Drosophila melanogaster: one gene and its partner. The protein of the gene in region 1 interacts with the protein of each later gene in a biochemical or structural test. Each region holds a gene or a part of one and is shown in the gene's direction. Other genes may lie near its edges.

Evidence for each region.
Region 2: the proteins of Pvr (region 1) and Pvf1 form a complex in vitro, tested with the Drosophila melanogaster proteins (one study listed by BioGRID).

The regions. Positions count from the first base shown.
Region 1 is NT_033779.5:8,232,873-8,243,845, reverse strand, and holds the start of Pvr (PDGF- and VEGF-receptor related), read left to right. Parts: upstream 1-3,967; 5' UTR 3,968-4,154; exon of another isoform or gene 4,155-4,927; intron 4,928-10,973. Other genes in the region: CG43057 (uncharacterized protein), read left to right, coding at 1-87, 142-333; CG14277 (uncharacterized protein), read right to left, coding at 554-598, 662-1,063, 1,117-1,179; Spn28F (serpin 28F), read left to right, coding at 2,080-2,092, 2,153-2,991, 3,051-3,189, 3,245-3,381.
Region 2 is NC_004354.4:18,828,027-18,839,166, forward strand, and holds the start of Pvf1 (PDGF- and VEGF-related factor 1), read left to right. Parts: upstream 1-4,655; 5' UTR 4,656-4,920; intron 4,921-9,966; 5' UTR 9,967-10,028; coding exon 10,029-10,316; intron 10,317-11,140. Other genes in the region: CG7101 (uncharacterized protein), read left to right, coding at 2,637-3,117, 3,197-3,774.

The DNA.
Region 1 (10,973 bases):
AAAAACAAATATCCCCCCGAATCTTCTTGTAGATCATCGCATCGGGAATTCTTTGCCTTTCACCGAGTTCTATTCGACTGCATAAAGGTAGAAGCGAGAAACGATCACGAGCATATCCTTTAGGTCCTTTGATCATTTAAGGTGACCACAAATTGCCGCAAGATCTACAGGAGGAATGAGTTCCATAGTTTGCAATCGTGCAGAGATGCATGTCACTACCACATGGCTGAACCAAGTCCGCCACCACCCCAAAATGGTACGACTTCTGCACCTGGAGGTGCCTCCGGAGCGCCAGGAGACGCTCCAGCAGCTGAAACGCCAGCTGCAGCGTGATCTTCAGGATCGGACACAAAAAAGATCAATTTAATTAAATTCCCGCAGATATTTGAAATAACTTATAGAGAGCATTGTGATAATTTCAATTCGGTATTTTCTGTATATTTAATCACTGTGTGTGCACCGCATTACCAATTTTTTTTTGCCCTCGTATTTACAACTACATGATTTGCAAGACTCATAATACAAACATAAGACCAACGATCGGATTCCGTCACTAGTTCTTGGTGATCTCGATTTCGGCATGAATGCAGGACTTGCCCTGGAGGAAAATACAACAAGGTGTCATCGAAATATCTATCATATATATTGGAAATAAACTCACCGTGTCATGCTTGACCTCAGAATCGATGATGAGGTGACCACGAGCCATGCCCAACATGGCCTTGTACTTGCTCAGATCCACGGAGTGATCGTTGGCGCACACCTTCTCCTCGCCCACCGGACAGGAGGAAGGTGCTCCGAAAAGCTTTAGCATGTCCTTACCTTCGGAGGAGGCCTGATCAATGGCGGCGCATAGATCGATCTTGCCCTCCTTCATTACGATGCCATCCTTCTGGACCTTGAACTTAGCCACCGCGGTACTGAACGGCTTGTTCATGATGCAGCCCGAGGGTACCAGTTCACACTTCTTGTTTAGCTTCAGGCTGAAGTCACTGCCCACCGTCATAATGGCATCCTCGCCGGCACAGTTCTCCAACTTGACCAGCTTGGCTTTGTAGCCATTCTGGGCAAAAGATAGCTTATAGATCTGGTCCACGGAGCTCCTGCCATACTTACGCAAGCCAAGGCTGCCTGGAAGCCAACGCAGCTGAGCAGGAACACGCAAATCAGACGCAACATTATGTTCACTCCGCGTTTTGGATGAATTTGTAAACTCCTGGACGGCTCAACCCCTATTTATACGGAACTTTCGCTGGCCTCGTTTCCCCCGAAATCCACAATTATTTGCGCATTAAGCGGTATTTGGCTGCAGCGATCAGTGATCGTTCGGCTCAATTGATTGCTCAAACTCCACTGGCCAGACGGTCATCCATTAGACCGCTCTAAATGTCGGAAATATTATGGAACTTTGTGGTCATCCAATTTTAATTACACCCACGACATGTTATTGTTTGTGTTCCTAGCGTGTCGCTGGAGTTTGATCTCTTGATCTCCCGTAATGTGAATGTGTTTGCATTCGAAACCATATGAATGTGGCTAAAATCGGACTCATCAGGAGTCCGTTAAAATCTGTTTTCTGTAATTGATAAGTGGCCATCACTCTTGTTACTTGTATGCCATGTCACTGCTTTGTTAGCCGCAGATATGATTGAATGCGAAGTTGGGGCTTTAAATGGCATGCAATTGATTAAAATGTTGCGACACGGATGTTTGACAAATAATCATACCATTTTTGTAGCAAAAGTTGGTCTGTTTTTTAAAACAACCTGATTTATTTATTGAGTATTTAAAACTATTAGAAAATTAGTTCATTATTACTGATCTTTAAAACGAAGTAGACTATTTATACTTGGTTTACTAATCAAATTAGATTCGACAAATTACATATGTTGTTATGGAATTTATACATTTAAGTTTAATTGTGTAATGCCATTCATTTATATTCTTTAAGAATGGCTTAATGAAATCCAACCGAAGCGCATAAATTTTATATCGCGCTGGCGAGTCTAATTTGATTATAATGCAGACTATATATAATCCGTAATTTCTAATTTGTTCTTAATCTCGATCGACGTTAAAATGAAGCATTTGTGTAAGTAAACTAATAAAATACAAGTTAATCAAAGAGGAATAGGTAATAATTGCAACGCAGGTCTGCTTCTTTTGGCCACGTCGGTATCTTGTCGCTTTGCCGACGATTTCTACCAACTTTTGGCCAAGGAAAATGCGGCCAATAATCTCATTTCCTCTCCCCTTTCCGTGGAAATCGCACTGAGCATGGCCTACATGGGAGCCAGGGCAAAGACAGCCCAAGAAATGAGGAATGTTTTGAAACTGCCCGATGACAAAAAGGAAGTGGCAGCCAAATACAAGGACCTTCTGAGTAAACTCGAAGGACGCGAGAAGGTAGCCACTCTCAGTTTGGCTAATCGCATATACGTGAACAAAAAGTTCCAGCTAGTACCGAGTTACAATCAGATGGTCAAGGATTCATTTATGGCTGAAGCGGAGGCAATCGACATTGTCGATCCCAATAAGGCTTCTTCAATTGTCAATAATTGGGTAGATAATCAGACGCGTGGTAAAATCAAAGACTTAGTTTCATCCAATGACATGTCGAAAATGGAATTGATCGTCTTAAATGCCATATACTTTAAAGGCCAGTGGGAGTACAAATTTAATCCCAAGTTAACGAAGAAGAGGAATTTCCGTGTTTCGGATCAAAAGAGTGTTCCTGTCGAGATGATGTCACTATTTCAATCATTTAGGGCCGCACATGATAGTGAACTGGGTGCCAAAATTATCGAGCTGCCCTACAGAAATTCAAGCCTGTCCATGCTAATTTTTCTACCGGACCAGGTCGATGGACTATCAGAGCTGGAGAAAAAGATTGTAGGATTCAAACCGAAACTTTCCAAAATGGATGTAACTTTAAGGCTTCCCAAGTTTAAAATCGAATTCTTCGCTCAACTAAACAAAGTTCTTGTGGCGGTGAGTATTCACAGATTATTCTTGATACACCCTTACAATTTATAGATATTCATCTATAGATGGGCATACAAGATGCGTTCGAAAAATCTGCTGACTTCAAAGATCTGGTCGAAAACAGTAACGTTCATGTGAAAAAAGTCATTCATAAGGCGTTCATCGAGGTTAATGAAGAAGGAGCTGAGGCAGCGGCTGCAACAGGTATGATATAATTTTATTATATATATATTTGTATAATATGTTTTATTTTTGCCAGCTTTACTTTTCGTGCGCTATAGTATGCCTATGCCGTCATCTCAAATGGTTTTTAATGCCGATCATCCTTTTGCCTATGTCATTCGCGATAGGGAAACCATTTATTTCCAGGGCCACTTTGTGAAACCGAATGAATAAAATGTACTATTTCTTATCAATAATAAATGGAAATTGTATTATACTTTATTGTAGAATAAAAGGATTTACCAGTTTCCTGAAAATATTTAATAGGTGGAAAGTAGTGAAAATGCTATAGTCGAGACCCTTATAAATCACAATCCCCTTACTCAGCTGACAAATCGTTAGAAATGCTTAAATGATACTAAATATTATTTAATAAAAGAAAACTTTATTTTAAGCACTTCGATCTAAAACTAAAACCGTTAGGAAATTTAGTACGCATGGCATCACTGGCCGCCACTGGCCAACTGGAACTGTTTTCAAGCGGTCTGGCATCGCCGCGAATAGCGTGATTGCGTTCAATTTTTAGCTCGTTATTTAGTACACTTCACCTTTCAAAATAATAATGAAATAATAATAAAAGGAAACTAAACGAGAGATAAACTCCCTAACGAAACAAGAAAATTCAAATGATGTTGACTAAAGATATAACAAAAATATTATTCTATCCGTTCTATTCTACATGCTGTAGATAACGCTCATCGATAGCAAAAAATAACAATCGAATCGGATACCTCGATAGTACCGTCGATAGTGCCCCAGCTCTAGTTAACGTTAACTTTTCGAGCTGTTCGGACGTCAAAGCGGAAGGAAATTTCGCGGGCTTTTGACTTGTGTTCGGTGCAAACTGTTCAAACTTTGCCGACGACGCAGTATTTATTGTCTTTCAAGAGCAACCGATACTGCTGAAGTGCCCCACGCAGAAAGTGTTAAGCACAGAAAACCACAACGTAAGCGTTAATTTTTGAAAGGCTCGAAGATACGTCCGATAATATAGATATAGAATCGTGTGGAAACGAAACCAAATCGTGTCGTATATAAGTATAAGTGAAGCATCAAAGGTGCTAAGCAAATGAATCCGCACTCAAAAGTTTAGATATCGATGTGAGCGAACCCCCACACCTTCGCAAAAGTAAAAAACAAACACAGATACGAATCGGAATTCGAATACAAGTGCAAACTCAGCCACAGGTGGTTGACAAGAGTTCTAAGTGATTGTCAATCGTAAGCTCGAAAATCGAAATCGAATTCGGCGCTCGTGATGTTGCTCAATTCGATGCAATTATACAAAAAAAAAACACCCAAAATAGTCATGGTCACTATGCTCCTATAGATGGTGTACATAATGAACTATTATCAGTGACCTTTTTCTAAGTGCGTGTGTGTGTGTGTGTGCTATTATCACTGCCTGGTATTATTCATTGATAAGTGCATATAAGTGTTGGGTCTACGAAAAGTGTGCGTGTGTCTATGGTGAATACGTCAGCGGCATTCCAAGTAATCAAGACTGCAAACATCCACCGGTGCCAGGTATTCAAATCGTGATTCATCGCCGATCGTGACTGTTGTACGTTCAAAAGTTGTTGTTGTATCTTCAATAGTTGTTGTTGTTGCCAAGCTGCTGCGATCAAACGGTAGACTGCGTAAGACTATGAAAATATGAATAACACTACGATGGATTTCGAATTTACTCATACTGCTTTTCCAGAAACACCCAAATAAAGTTGGTATATATACATATATATGTACATATATATATAGAAGAAAGGGTTCACCTTTCTTTTGTTTGCCTGGTCAACTGAATGTGTCTATAGCGACTTTCTTAAACCGGTTCCACGCCATCCGTTTCTTGACCAAACGAACTGTTGATACATTTTCCCCCAATACGTGACTCAGGATCGAGAAGTTCTGATCAAATCAGATGCCCATAATTCATTGCCTCCAATTGCACACTGTGCCCAATTTGTTTATTGAATACAGACCTCCTTCAGTTTGCCGACTGCTCCATTTATCTCTGGCCACTTCAAAAGGCTGCCCAGCCCAGGCTGTTGTTAATTGCCATCGTTCTCAATGTCCGGAAAATGTGGTACAAAACTGCTACGAATCGTCAAAGTTTGGAGTCATAAAAATGTCCGCGAATGGTGTTGATGAAATATTTATTGTAATTCCCCTGGCCAAATTCGCAATTCACCTGGCATCAAGCGTTGAACAACTGTTGTGATAAGCCAGAATAATCAATGGATACTAGTGGTTCTTGGAAAATGTGCACCCATCACATTGCTACTGGCCACTTGCACCTCTTTTTCACACCTACCCATTATGCACATGGCACATTAATCAGGTGGGGCTTATGGCCAAGTATCCACCAGATACGCACACCTGCCCCGCCCCCCGCAGTGGGTGTCAAATTAGAGATACTTTACTGTAGTTGATTGTGCTGAAGTAGAGAGCTCCATTACGAATAAATTACTTTGTATGCACTGGAAAAAATGAACAAAGTAGTTCTTTCGCATTAATAGAAACTAATTATAAATACACACAAAATATTTAAGCAGAACTCGCCGAAAATAGACTTCAAAATAATCAAAGAATGTGTGTGACAACGAATTTGTGTGCATTTCAAGCGATTGTAATATCTCTAGAGATATTTAGAATGCTGATATGTATTATTGCACAAGAGATCTTTTTAATCTCAAGAGGATTGCTTATGCACAGAAGATTGACTTCCTGTTGTAGATAAAAACACTAGAATTGAGTTTAGGTACATTTTGTACATCTGTAGAGAGAAAAATCATTTTGCGTTTCTCTAAGGCAGTTCGGATAAGCTGAAACATTTTTGAGAAACCCCTTAACTCTTTGGGCGAATTGGCTCATAAATTTCCATTTAAGATAATATCTGTTTAATTGAATTTGCCGGTTACCAATAAGCCATAAATAAAACCGATTCGTTGGACAATCTCGGCCAGCATTGAACACGTTTTCACACCACTTTGTTGGTTGGCTGGCTGGTTGGTTGGTTGGTTTGGCATTCTATGAATGGACACCTTCGCCTCTTTACATCCGCCGTGGTCTGAGTCAGAACGTAAATAATAAATAACAAATAATAAATTGACAGCGGACAACAAATGTTTTGGCCAGGCCATTGTAACTGTCTGCATGGAGAGGTGGAAATAACTTGGCCATAAATCTGCAAAAAAAAAGGCTAAGCAGGCAATTGGCTTTCACCTGAGCCCTAGACTAAAGCCCATTCATAAGCGCTGGAAACTTTAGACTAAAGCCCATTCGTTGGGAAAATTTTATCTGCCCCATAAACTGCACGTAATCAAGTGCACTTCGGAGAATCAGGGAAATAAGAAAATATATGTATATATATATATAAAAGCAATCTTATTTCCGTCGGGAATAAAATGGCAGAAGGCAGCCAGCCAGTCAAAACAAAAAATGCATTGAGTAAACAAATCGCATAAAATTGAGCCATGTTTTGAGGTCACGGCGAGGCACTAAATGGGCTATATACATTGGCCATATTTATTTATTAATCGGGCGAAACCCAAAACAAACAAATTAAACACTTGTCGGCTATTAAGTGAACGCATATAACATTTCTATTTATTCGCCAGCAGCTGGCCAACCAACCAACTTGTTGTCGCCACGCGTTGTAGTTGTATAATATGTGGGCAGAATGCCAACGATTCAATTTCACCGGCAATGGTCTTTCTATTATTTTTATTAAGTTCCCAGTTTATGGAAAAGAAAAGAAACAACTTTTCCAAATCTCTCGAGTGACAACTGAAGAGTTATACAACCGAAAAATAAAGTTTCCCAAATGACTCAACTGAAAGATACATTACTCCGGTAATTTCACTTTTATGCCATTTGACTTTCTTTGCGCATTATGCAAAGGTTGCCAAAAAAAAAAGACATTAAATTATTTTCGCCGCTTCTGCTAGGCAATTACTTAACATAATCAAGCCCCGTATCTCTTTCCTGACCTTATCGCAGCCAAATGGTTGAAAAGATAGGCCGTTGCGAAATGGTGTTAAGAACTCGCTATTTGCCAGATAGTTTATCTTGCAGTGCGCCCGCAGTTTAGCTAGAAGTTTCCCTTAATCTTGCAGCTTCTCGGGGATCTGAGGCTGCGACTGATTTCTGTAACCCATTATTCTTCGCTTCCAGTTGCCAATCCATCAAGGCGTCACTTTTGCTTTTTGCTCACAGCTCGTGTTGTTTGGGCATTTGTCTTGCAGCTATCGCTTCAAAATGCATTAGATCTGCGCACAGAAGCCCGTATTTCTATTCTCAGCTGGGAATTTGGTATGTGGAATGCCAAATGGGCGGGGATATAGTCGTGGGCGTTGGCGTAGTTGGTGGGGGGGCGTGGCCAACAACCAGTGGAGCCAACGCAAAAACTGCAAAACTAGCTCTTGTTTGTGGGCGGAATTTACAGCGGGCGCTGTGCACTTGCCCAAAAAAAAAAAGGAACAAAAATGTCAATTGAAACGGAACCATATATCAATTAATTAGAGTCGGACAATAGACATTAAACCAGATGTTCCCGCTGATAGCAGATTACCCACAAGTCAAGTGACCTCAATCGAAGGGTGCTAAAATGTCTGCTCAATTAATCAAGTATCAAGATCTATTAATTCTGCAGACGCATTACCTTGGAATTGTCATTAGCTTTCTAGCTCGCCAAAAATTAATTAGTCAGCTTTTATTAAAGCGAAAAATATTTTATATAGCACACTTGGCTTTAAATGGATTCATATATTGCCAGTTTAAAGATTCTGTTTTTGTTGACAATTTAAATCAATAATTTGCTGCTACGAGTCGCAAACAATTCAATTTTTTTTAATTAGGCGATAATAAATTTTGTGTGACACCAAAAACTTTATTTGAAACTTTGCTGGCTTTCTTTGCGAAATAAGTTGGATGGCAAAAGCAATTCCATTATCTTTTTGGCATTTGAAGCTAACTAAATGCTTATCCCTATGACATCCTTGCGTTCATTAGCGTTTTTGGTTAGCTAACGCCCACTTGCGAACATTTGTTGTCCTGACGAAAGCCTATTGGTTAATGGAATTAGCTGGCATTCCGCGTAAGGAACCATTACCATGTCACCATCCACATACCCGCCATCATTAAGAGGCACGCAAACTGGGACAAAAGTAGCGTCATTATGCAGAACGTTGGTTGAACGGTGTTTTGGGCCAACGAAACGAGAGTTGGCCAAAAGGCCCACACGCGGTTTTTTGGCCTGGGTGGGCAGATTGGCCCCAGATCTCTCGATACCGCTGTTAACCGATTGACAAATAGTTTGATTTACGAGCCAACAAATCTCAGCTTGGCCCAAATTGCAAATTTCAATTTGACTGCGTGGCGCTTTTCTGAATTTTTAATGAAGCAAATGAAAGGCCACACCCCTTTGTCCGCTTCCAGGCAATGCAGATGGATAAAAATATTTTCCGATACAAGTAGTTTCTTCGTATTTCTCCATGGCGACTGCTCATTATTTTGGCCAGAAGCCAGCGGCATGTTTGCAATTGCAATCACAGAATTCGTGAACGATTCAACTTTCCATTAAGATGTGGTGCGCGAAATTTCAATTGTAATGGAAAAAACAAAGGAAAACACTTGACTTGTGCACCAACACAGAAACACGCAACGCCAAAGGTCAGCGGGAAAATCAAATAAAAGCACGGAAAAACTCCGACGAAAGAGTCGTAAATTTTCGTTGGCCCAAACAAAAGGTAGTCGGAACAATGGAGACACACTTACTTTTCTCGAATCCGGGATAATTGCAAAAATAAACACATAGCTTGTGGCCCATATAAATTCAATTTGTACAAGGGAGTTGCAAATTAAAATGGACAACGGTGGAAAGCAGCAGGAAAATTCGTCCGTGACGAGGGTCAGCCGTTGCACGTAGCACGTAGGCGGCTAAATTTTCAGAGTGAAATACATTTTTTTTTTCAGGAACACGTGAGGGAAAGCCACAAAAACCGCACTCAAGCCTCGAAATGAATCTGTTGCACATGCAGCGCGTGAAAAGCACGAGCTGTGCAAGTTTTCCGTTCATTGGCCATAAAGAATCAAATAACGTTGAAAGATTTTCCCGGCAAAGCGTTAAACTGTCAAAAGTTTCGGCGTAAAGAACAGTGGTGGAATGGAATGCTATTTCATTTCTCTTTTTTTTTGTTGGAAAAACATGGAACTAATAAGAATGTTGGCCGCTGATGTAGCCGAAACATGAAATGACCATCCGTTTTTTATGGCAAAAACTCATGAAAGAGTTCGCTTGTCTTCGCATAAATACACATTGTATCATTGCATAAATTTACTTCAAAAGTTTGCCTAAGTTTATTTCTTGCTTCCCCTGGTAAGCTTATTAGATAATCGCATAAAAAAGGCTTGGGAAATTCAAAAAAACTCAAGTGAATAATGCTGCAGTTTATCTACAATGTGGTTGTGTTTTATTTTTAAGCTCTTGTGATTGGTAGAACTAGTACAAATGGTCTGTTGTTACCTGATTTCTGATTATTATAGCCCTGTAAGTTCCTTAAACGATTTTCAATGACTGTTTATACATTATACATTCTGCTGGAAGATCACTCTTCGAAACAAAAGATTTTGCAATCAATGCGATGATAATGATGATGATGATGAATGCAAGGAGACACTTGCTCTCAAGGAAAGTTCTCCCCTTTTACAAATGCATTCGGTCAACCGGTTTGCGTGCTATACAGTTTTATTATAATATATACGTAAAAAGCATATTTGAACAATAAACAGATATAAATGTGAGCGTAAGGCAGTTTAATTAGTACGCAAATATCGTCACTTATATAAACAGATTTACATGAAACGCAAACGTGAATGCAAACGTCACACATGAATAAGCAAAAAGGTGGAAGGGGGGGGGGGGGGTCATTAAATGTGGGGGACATTGGTGAATGAATGAACGAATTAAGGCGGCGCCACTCGACCGTGGAATGACGTCATTCTTTATTATTTATACGACTCGATGGTGGTAAACAATTGTGTGTTAAACATATGTTGTATATCGATGTGAATTTTGATAGTCGCGAATTGATATGAAAGTTTCGGGCAGCTCTTGATTAATTACATATATCCATTTCGTATCGCATAAAAACACTCTAAACTTTTAGAAATCTAATAGATTACGCAGAAAAGAATGCAACAGCAAAAACCGAAGTAGAGTGACGACTTTGGGAAATTGTATTTTCTTAGCACAAAAACAAGACAGCTGAAAAATGCCGAGCAAATTATTCATCTGGCTGTGTTTTCCTTCATTCAACAAGATTCATTTTAGCATTCACAATTGAAAGTCATTATTCTCTTCGGATTAAAAAATGTTTTAAACAAAATGATCATAACATATTTTCTGATTTTTGTGTATTTTCTTCTTAAAAGATAATCGATTGCCATTATTTTGCGATGACATTGTAAACAGGATTATAAGCCAATAATAAGAAGTGATAAGCTATAATTCCATTGCTGACAATGAAAATGCTCGAATTGGAGCAGATATTTTGAGCGTTCTGTTTGCCCACGTCTGAAAATGACTAAGTGCAGAATTGTGTACTCCGAGATAGGGCGAATGAGGTGGGAGAGATTCCCTCTTACCAACCGACTGGCCTCATTATGCCCATGGCTAATTGCGATCCGAGGACTGTTGAAGAAGACAATCAGAGAGAAAAATCAGAGCTTGGAAGAAAAGGGATTCATTCGCCTGCAGCTGGGACTGC
Region 2 (11,140 bases), on another chromosome or scaffold:
ATCGATTCAAACTTAATCTAATGTGAATCTTACAAATAGAAGAGAAGAGACGAGTATATGAAACAGATAAACAAAGAAATTAGAGAATCAAATTAAGATGAAATCCTGGTTGTTCGCGACTAATACCTTTATATGAATCGAAAGATGATAACTTATCGAAGAACTATTACAATCTAAGTACATATATTTCTATTTTCATTGTGCATATGAATTAGCTACTTTACTGTCGAAAACCGTTTTGCTGGTAAACAATCTCTTTATATGGGATATCCGAATTTCGGAATATCCGAATATCGGAATATCCGAATATCCGATTATCTGAATATCTGAATTCTCTTTGTGCTTTCTATGCTAAACATACATTTTTGAACTACTTCAATTAACGAGACGAAAACCCAAACACTTAAATTCCGAGGATCCGTACATACATACATATGTAAGTCCCCAAAACGATATCCCCCCCAATGTAAAGAGCGTACCGAAAATCAAAGCCAGTGTTGCATAGATATTACGAAATATTACGATGGTATGGGTACGGGTACGGGTACGGGGAGTACATAACATACATCAGTATAGAGCATATTGAACTTATAGAGCATATAGAAAAATAGGAACGATGTGCCGATGTGTAGGGCGTGCGTACAAAATGTGTACATGAAACCACCGTTAACTTTGCTTCATGCGAGCCGAGCAATTAAAGAGTTAAAGAATAAAATATAAAATGAAAAATTCAAAAATACAGATACAAGTGAAAAATAAAAAAGGAAAAAAAAAAGAATACCTAATGCAAACCGAACAAATCAGCAGCAGCAGCAGCAGTTCCGAAATTGTTGTCGAAATATATAATAGCAGCTTTTAGAACAACACCAAGGAAGTTGTAGTAAATGCGGAGGAAAATTGTATTGTTGTTGTTTTTTATGTACATTTACTTTTTTGTATTACCGTTGTTGTAAGTCAAATATGCCAAAAATGAATAGTTTACTAAGAGTTTACAACAAAAGATTCAAATGCAGGCAAGATATGAATTACTTTAAACGCAAATCGCAAGAACAAGTTCCGAATGTTTTTAGTAGTCAATGGAGAATATCTTTTAATCGCTTACACTAAGTGTTCCCATGCATATTTATGGGTTCCTTGCCGAAACAGAAATCTTACATAAACACAAAAATATAACACAAGAGCGCGGCTGTCGACTTTACTCCACCCCGGTACTCAAAATGTTCGAATAAAAGTGTGAATAAGTTACTAAATCATTGCATGCAACAAAGAATAACTTTAGCTAATGGATAATCGTGTTATTAGATCGTATTCAATTGTTACCTGATTTGATCCCATTTCGCTTTTATTGAACGTTTGATGTGCATTTAAGTGATTACCCCCACCCATAGCATTCTGCAAAAATCGTCCCAGTTGATAGAAAATGCAAATACAAGATCATACGTTCTCGATTCAAGTGTTTAACTTTAAAGTGCATTTTTAATATGAAGAAGTTCTGTTACATTTTTGTGATGATCGAAAAAAGGTCTTTTTTAGAACTGGCTGCGATTTTTCGATTGTAGTGTTGGAATTTCGAAACCAAAAATGTTGCTTGTGTGTTTAAGTTGTACCATTGTGTTATTTGAACTTTTGAGTATCGGATGAGCATAGAACTAAGGAACCATTAGAGGTCCGATGGATTGATTGAGCCGCCACAGCGCCATTTTGATAATAAGAACAAAGAATTCGATAACTATGTATGTTTAATGGATTACATAAGTGTGTACTACTTCACGCGTCAGGTGGGTGGCATTGCCCTGCAAATATTTACTTTAATTTCTGGATAATTAGTGCTCACATCACTGATTAGAGGACAGGAATGCGCAAAACAATATGCTTAATACATAAGATTCCAGAGCTTTTAGTAACGCCATGTAAATTCTGGGTCATGAATACAGTTGTGAAGATTGAAGATTGTAACCGAGGCGTTTGTTATTATGTATTCAAGTCATTTATTATAAGTGTATACAGCTTATACTATTATAAAAGTGTTAAAAACATGAATTATTTTGAGAAAAAAAACCCAAAAAAGAATATACAACAAAATGTTAGTCGGTAAATGAAATCAAATGTAAAACAATTTAATGTAGACTGTACTAAAGAATTCAAGGAAATTTGAATATCAACACTCCATCACGCAAATAACTAAAAGGAAATTCGCTAATTGAATAGAAGTTGATGGGAAAATTATTTGCACAGTGCAGAAAAACGTGTTATAAAATTATTATACTATACAAAAACTATATATTATTGAATTATGCTGATGAAATTAAAAACCATAAAAGTATGTAAAAAAAATTCAAATACAAAATGATTTAAATGAAGTACAATAAATATTCAAGTGACGAAAATGTACGAGCGGGCTCTTTTCAATGGGAATATGAAGAATTTAATTTGAAAATGTTTGATTTTTGTTTTTGAACACTTCGGTAAGTAAATGTGACCGCTTATTGATATATTCTGTTCAGCTTTCGCGCTGCAGTCACACTTTTGGCTTCCCGGCACTTGCGGTCAATCGATAACAAATCGCGCCTTCCGATATCGATAGTCAGCGAGCAGTTTTGCTTGTAACAACAATTTTAATTGGACAAGCTAAAATTATGGAACCGGTGCCCATCCGGCCAAAAGCGCCGGGAGCGAGCAACCGCGGAGCCCTGCCGCTGGCGGCGAAGAAGCCGGCCAAGAAGCGTACGTACCACTGCGGCGTTTGTTTTGCGGAGTTCTCTCGTCATCTGGCCGCCAAGCGGCACGAGCAGCAGTGCTCCGTCAGGGTGAGGCGTCTTTTCGTCTGCCCCCACTGCCTGACGCTTTTCGGCGAGGAGGCCCGGCTGGAGCGGCATCGGGAGCGAAAGCACAACGATGGCCAGTTCCTGTGCCTGCAGTGCGGCAAGAAGTACGCGTCAGCCACGTTTCTTTACCGTCATGTTGCCAGTTGGCACGGCCAGCAGTCGCTGTTCTACTGCGACATGTGCACGGACAACTGCAACGACGTTAAGACCTTTAGCGGGATGCTGGAGCTGCAGGAGCACGCCGAGGAGGTGCATCGCCTGCGTACCCTGAAGTCCACGGCCAGTGATGCAGGTAGGTATTCTGCTTACGAGTAGTTGTGATGTTAATGGCATACCCTGCTTAATAATACTATTCAATCCGATCCCTGCAGACAGCCAGGTTGATGAAATGGAGGATCTTGAGATGCTAGAGGAGAACATTGAGAACATACTGCCCAGCATCGACTGGGACGACGATCTCACCTTTGGCTGGCCCACCGACCTGGACAAGGAGTCGTGCATTGTGAACGCTAAGCCGAGCGTTTTCGTGTGTCCCTTCTGCGCCAACGGATTCCCCGGCAGTCTGAGCCTGGTGCGGCACCTGGAGCAGGTTCACGAACGCAGTGCCCTGGACTGCTGCTACTGTGGCAAGAGCCATGGCAGCCGAGAAGCCCTGCGGTCCCATCTGCAACGTGTTCACATCCTCTTGCGCGGTCATGTGTGCGGTATTTGCCAGGCGGACTTCGCCACTGCTGATCACCTAAAGAAGCACGTTAACAGTCTGCACCTGGACCACCGACCGCATCTGTGTCCCACGTGCGGAAAGAGATTCACCCAGCGGTGCCACCTCACCGATCACATAAAGACGGATCGCGGCCATGGACACGGCACTTACACCTGTGAATTCTGCGTGCGGCCCTTCTTCCGGGCCATCGATCTCGAACGGCATGTGTGTGAGGAACATCCGTAGGGCAGTCAACCTAGCCGGAATCGTAGATACCTGAGCGACATCTCACGTCCAGAACTACGATTAATATATACTTAAGCAATGGATAAATGTAACGTTTTAATAGCGTTAATATTTTGAATTTATATCCTAGTCATCGGAAATGTTTTTCCAAACGAACTTGAATTTAAAATCGTATTTTATTTTTTGCTGTAAAATTAATGCTTATGAGACGATTTACATTTACATCTTAGGAACTATAGACATAAGCGAATAGTTACTTTAATATAGCAAGCAGATGGCTGAAAGACAATGTACTTATATGAATAAAAAAATATCAATACATGAAGTCAGGTTAATAGAAACGGGCACAATTGAAATATTTTCTAAGGAAAGTTTGAAAGAATGAAAGATTGCCTAAAGAAAGTTTACAGATTATTGCTGCGTAGTGTTAACATAATGTAAAATGTCACACTAAAATGAATACTTTGAAAATAACGATGAAATAGTGCAGCTTTATGAGTAATATTTATCATCACCACAACACTGATTAATCAGATAATATACTCCATTTCCACCAATAGACAGATAATAGAATGTAACATATGTATTGTTCATGTTGCTCTATATATATTTAAATTTAAAATCTCAGCGAGCCTCCTGAGCGAGGGTGTGCGTAAGTCGAGATCGCGCTCTCCCAGCGTTAACTGTTAACAGTGAAACCCATCCGCTCCGCTCCAGGCCCCAAGATCGGGAGAGTAATGAGCGGAGCGGTTCGGTTCGGATTGGATGTGAGTGTTGCGGTACAGAGCGGAGAGCGCAATGCTGCGACAGCTGGGTACTGTTACTGTTACTGCAACAGTTACTGCTACTGCTATTGTTATTGGCGACTGTGGTGATAGGGGCGCAGTAACTTGGCCCACACCGACGAGTCGACAGTTTTGAACGGAACTTGCTGGTGCTTGGATCGCAGCTCCGCCGATCTCCGCGAGGCTAACACCACAAACTTAAACGCGCTCAAATATATATCACAAATTATTAAATACAAAACCCCCCATTTGTGCACACATATTTTTTGTTGTTTGTTTTTCGTTTCGTGCTAACCGATTTGTGCCATTGAACTTCGTGTAAAACATAATATTTAGAATTTTCAAGCCGTGTTTCCATAAAGTAAGTGGTGCTTCTCAAAATTTCAACATTTCAACACAAATCAGCAGCGTAAACAAACAAGCCAGCGACCCTCGACTACATCTAACATTTAAACTGAAACTGCTTTTTGTTATTGTTTATATGGTTTTCCACTTCTGCCCCACTAAAGCCGGGCCTTTTAAAAAGCTCTCCACAGCGCACAGCCTTTTGTTATATATATGTTTTTTTTCCCCAATAGCTTTCGAGCAAAACCAGAACACCATTTTATCATTAACAAATGCAAAAAAAAAAAAAACCAAACAAAACAAAAAAGTACAATTGCAATTAACGTTTTTTGATCTGGCTGTTGAGTTATTCCAGTGGCTGTGTGGAAAACCCAGTGAAAATGTTGCGCTTGAATTCCTAAAAACAAAGTCTAAGCCGGGCTTAATCGTTATTCAAATCAAACTACGTCAAATCGCGTGCGAATATAAGATTTGTGAATCACAAATGAAAGTGAACTTGGCTTAAATGTAGTCGCTGCCTTAAACTGCAATATATCAAGTTGTTTATGATCGAGTTATTGCGGATAAATCGTCAATAAAGTTCAATAAACTAATGCTGGCAATGTGTTCAAAGTTCCTGTTTTTTTTTTTTTTTTTTTAATTTATAACATTTTAGAACAAAAATGCCATTTTTAAGAAATAATTTATTTTGAAATGCACATTTGCGGGTTTTCATTAAAAGAAAACACGTTTAATGATAATGTTTGCTCACAAAAGTCACACATTATATATTATGTGATGAATATTAAAATATTATAGTAAACGTTTCTAATTATAACGTATATTGTATGAAACAACTGGAGAACTTTGATATCCTAGAAAGGAAACTATACCTTGAGCAAGTGACACCTTCACTAAACTTAAAAAAGAAAACAATTATTTTAGATATGCCCTAGTTTTTTAAAAACTTGTTCATATTTCCGCCTTCCAAAAGTTGAAATCGGTTAATCTTAGACTCGCATTCCAGACGTCGCCGTTGACCCGATCCCTTTGGGAGCCCTTTGGGAGCAAATCCATAATTTATCTTGTAGAGCTTGTAGAACCCACTGCCCATTGTCCATTGCCCATTGCCCTCCTGTTGGTCCAAGTTTTGTGTTTTCTTGTTTGTTGTTTGCTCTACTGCTCCCCCGTCTACATGGGCCCATGGATGCAGTGGAGTTATTATCATGTCTATATTGTAATTGATTTGCCTGAGCGAATGACCAGACGGGAAGACAAGCTATGGGCCTGTTCCCTGATCTGCCACGCCTCCGCCCGCGCCGCGCCCGCGGTCTTATCATTAACGCTTGAGTCTTCCTTTTGTATTGGAATTCTTGTGCGGGGAGCAATTGCCTGGCGGGAGGCACTCCCTTCGCGTAATTAAGGACCGCCCAAGTGGGGATCGCGATTCCGAGATGATTCCTTTTGGTTCCTCGCCTTCTCCTCCTTGAGATTACTTGATATGATTTGATATCTTCGGGTGACGCACCGGGAAGGAATGCCTCGAAAGTGTGAGAATAAATACAGCTGACACCTGCGCAAACTAAATACAGATCATATGGGTATCGTCTATCGACTATATGATACCTGAGGCATGGATATATGCATATGATAGCCTTATAAGTTTAATATTCCTAAAGAAAGCTTGTAAACAGTGGCTTGATTGCGTTTTTTGAAACTAAATGCTGATCAGATTTCGCCAAAGTTAGCATACCTTTTTTTAGTACAGGGTACTAAAAGCAATCAGTATGAGGAGTAACAAAAGCCTGTCGCTTTCGCAATAAGTACATATTCGCATTCATATATATAATTTAAAAACGTGCTTAATTTTGTAATCTGCCTTTCCCCCTTACCACTACTCCCATCTATCCGTCTCCCTGTGGTCGATCTGTAATATCTGCGCTGACGAAATGCCTCAGTAGCAACAACAACAAAAACAACAACAACTGATAACTGATAACTGACTAGACGCACAAGTTAACCGTTGAATCGGGTTAAAGAGACCTTCGATGTGACAGGTTGTGCAATCACCAGCGGCCCACCCGTCGAACGAACATCCTATAGAGGTTTTAAGAATCTGCATTATATTTTGAATCTTGTTTTCAGTTTGTAAGATCTATTGAAATTCTTTGCAGATAGATTAGTAAATTACTTGATATCTTTTTAATTCCAATTGAAAATTATTCCGAAACTGTTAAGCTAACAGCTGTTACTCCACACAAAGCTTGTGCAGCAGCCGCCAAAAAAAAAAATAAAAACAGAGCAACAACAACAAGACGGCACAGAGGAATGTCAAGATGAATCACACAGGTGTGCGTGACACCTGGCAACAGAGAAAGAGAGAGGGAGGGAGAGCGATGAAAAGAATAACAACGTTTGGTCTGTCATATCAATCGGTATTTGCTTAACTGTTAAAAAGAGCCAAGAAATGTAAGGAAAACAGAAAGGAAAACAATGATAGCTGAATTCCGTGTGCGTGTGTGTGTGTTGATTGCAGCCCACAAATAAACACTTGTGCACCCATTGCACCTAAAACGCAAGTGCAGAAACATACACACAAATTGAAACTCCCGAGGAGTACCGTTACAAGGCGAGCTTAAAGCTATTTTTAACACCATCCGATCTTGCTCTCCTTCCCCACCCCTTTCCACACCCCTCTTACCCATTCTGCTATCTCCTTTCCTGTGTTGTTTTTTGCACCACTTCTCACTTTGCTTTTCTTCGTCTTGCCCTCATACACTGCACGAAACCAGGATCACTTTAAAACGCTTTGTCCGCATATTCCACAGCTTTGTATTAGAGAAATATAATCAATTATGTATATACATATAATGGGCATTAACCCATTAGTCGGCATCTTCAAAAACTTTCCACACTTTGTTATGTGTACAAAAAAGTTCATACAAGTATTTCCAAAAAACTTTGTACGTTTTAATAAAGATCATTCCAATTTGCCAGTTGCATTATAAAAGTTATTTGTATAGTAAAATAGGCTCATAAAGCCTCCTTAAAAACTTGCATCCAACTATTTTTCTATCATGGTATCATGTTCAGCAAAATTTCATTCGCCGTACATCCAAAATTCGATTAAACTGAATTTAAAATGAAGTTGGTTACCCAAACCACTATTTGTTTATATCTATACTAAATTAGCGAAGCAAGCTCTTGGAATCTAGCAGTCCATTTTTTTTCCAGACCCAATATACATGTATGTATGTACATTACATATGTATATATTTTCCGATCCATGGGGGAGCATATGGCTATGTTTACATCTTTCTCACTTCTTCGTCTTCTATTTTTTGTTTTGCATTTTAATGAATGAACGCCTTTTGCGATTTTACAATAGCCATTTATATTTTATTTGCTATTCACTAGGCTGATAAAGCGCCTTGACCAGCACGCTATATACAAATCTGTATATTTATGTATGTATGTATGCATGTGCATTTAGTATGTTTTACTGGGACTTATCACTATCACTAGGCGTGCGTTACGTTATCGACAGCCCACGAAGAAGAAGAAGAAGAAGAACAGACTGTGCAGCTGAAAGGGAAACGCGAACTGACCTATAATAAGAATTTTCATATTTAAGCAGTACGCAAGAATAAGTAAAAAAGAATAAGAACAAGGGAGCGACGAGAATAAAAACAAATAATAATGAAATGCATTAAATGCGAGAGCCACAGTGGAGCCGGCACTGGAAATAAAATCATTGGCTTAACAGCATAAGAAGAAGAATTCTTCTGTTCGAAAGCAGAACGCGAATTCTGCAGTTGATTAATTTTACCTATAATTTCATTTTCGACCAATTATTGCACTTTTCCTTCGAGTGCAACATAATCAGTAGCTGAGTCTTACTTTTCATATGCAGGAAATATTAAACTCCCTACGCACTTAGCATTCGAAATAGAGTTTGAAAGACAGGAAACGAACTGAAGAATTCCCGCTTGAGTCTTCTAGATTGCTGGCGATTACACAAGAATCCTGCCGCCTTTTGACTTGGCTTCGAGGGCTTTAATGGCCACAAGTGTAGCTGATTTATGAGTCAGGGCATGGCCATAATAAAAGAAACGGTCGAACAAACGCGGCTCATTCATAGCCAAAAGTGGTAGTGGTAGTGGCATTGCATTGCCTAGTACCATGTAAAGAGTGTGCGCCAGGGGCGTATGCGTGACTCAGTCGTTTAGTAACCATCTTGAACTAGCCACAATTGCTTGATTTACCCTATGCACCTAATACACCTAATTGTTCTTTGAATTGTTTACAATTGTTTACAATTGGCATTGTAAGATATTTGTCGCAAACTTTACGATTTCAATCGAGATTAAGGGGTGTTTATCGAGTGCCGCTGGTGACTAACACGCCCGGTGCTTCCTGTCCCCCGGCAGGTTGATTGTCTCATTGATATGCCTGACGCACGATACCCTCGTACCCTCGGAGTGATGATAAGACGTTTTGTATCAATGTCAAGTTGGCCGACGCAGGTTTTTTTTTTTTTTTTTGCTGCCTCCAACGTTGGCCAACATCGCGTTCATAACCGAACTGACCCCAATTCGAATGGGAAACGTGACCACCCGCCCGCCTGCCCACCTGTCACCCACACCTGAAGAGCACACCACCTGCTGCCCGAAGAATTGACATTGTGGGGAAAAAGTAAATTAACCCTAGGAAAACAATATGAATCTCTGACTCTGTCATCTTCCAACATACATACATATATCAAGTCGTAAATCAGTCAGAGGAAGTCTGGGAATAAAAGGCGACTTCACACTTCTACCGGCATAAAAAAAAAAATTTCAAAAAATATAACCATTTTCAAATGAAAAGAAATCTTTACCTTCTCGAATCTTCGCGGCTTTGAAGAATTTTCCAAACCAAATTAAGCTGAATTTGGAGTTTCCGAAAATATTTATGTACATATGTCTCAAACATGGCTCACCATTCGATTCGGAAGGTCACTTCCGCAAATTATAGTACATTAATAAATTATTAATAAAGTATGTTAATTGCATGGCAATGATGTTTCATCCCTTGATTTTAGATAATTGTAACGGATTCTGTGTCCTCTAACGCCATTGAAAACTGTTCTTCCATCGCATCCGCATGGCCATGTCCCGAATCCGAATTCTGAAGCCCATGCAGCATCCATTGCTCATCCTGCCAGTGCTCCTTCTCGTCCTGATCGTCAGCGAGGCAGCGGCGGGCTCCTTGGTGTCCCCGAACAACAGGCAACCATCGCAGAGGTTCTTCTACGCCGCCGCCACGTCCTCCTCCTCCACGCAGACCAAGGTGCGCCTGCTCCGCCAGGCGGACGATCCCAGTGCGGCGCCGGGTGCACTGGAGGGCAGCTGCTGCCAAGGAGCAGCTGCGGAAGCCGGAACACCATTGACGGTAAGACAAATGCTACAATCACTCCACACATCCATCAGTATGGTAAAACTAATTTGAAAATTATTTGATAATAGTATATTATTAAGAGATATATTTTCGAAAATTCCGATTCCGGTTTTATCAGAAAGATTCGAGTGATATAATAAATGGGATTTTTCAAAGTTTCAAGGGTAATTCCCATTACTCTATATTTTGGTTTTTGGTACACTGCTTGAAATACCAAGAACGTGCTTTTCGATAAGTTTGATAAGAGTTAAGAATTTTAGTTAGTCTGTTATTTAGCAAATATTACTATAAATTATGGCTGCATCTAGATGGCGCCACTGTGTCGCCCAGAGACATCGCCTTTTTGGGTCAGCGTCATCGCAGCGTTTTGTTTGCAGCTTGATAAGGCGCTGCCTCGCTGCACAACGCCAACCGCAACCCGATCCCAGATCCCAGATCTGAGACCCCAATCCCAGACCCCAAACCCCACCAAAGATCGGGAGCAGCCGGTGGACAGTGGCGCCGTTGTCTCAGCATATTCTCACGCAGCGAAATGGGAATAGAAACTACACACCAAAAGTACAGTTTTAACTAAATTTTGTAACTAGCAAGCTAATTTTATATTTTTTTTATTAAAGCAGTAACTTGTAGATACTTTTGAAACCAATTTACTAAGTATCTATAAAGTTGAGCAGTTAATTATATTTTATTAAATATTTTTCACTTAACAAATTCTACTTTGTAGTGTATTGTATTTCTGAGGTACTTTTTGAATGAATTTCTTTTTGGATCAATATTACTTTAGAGTACGGACTAAAATTTCTCTCAGTGATCGCCTT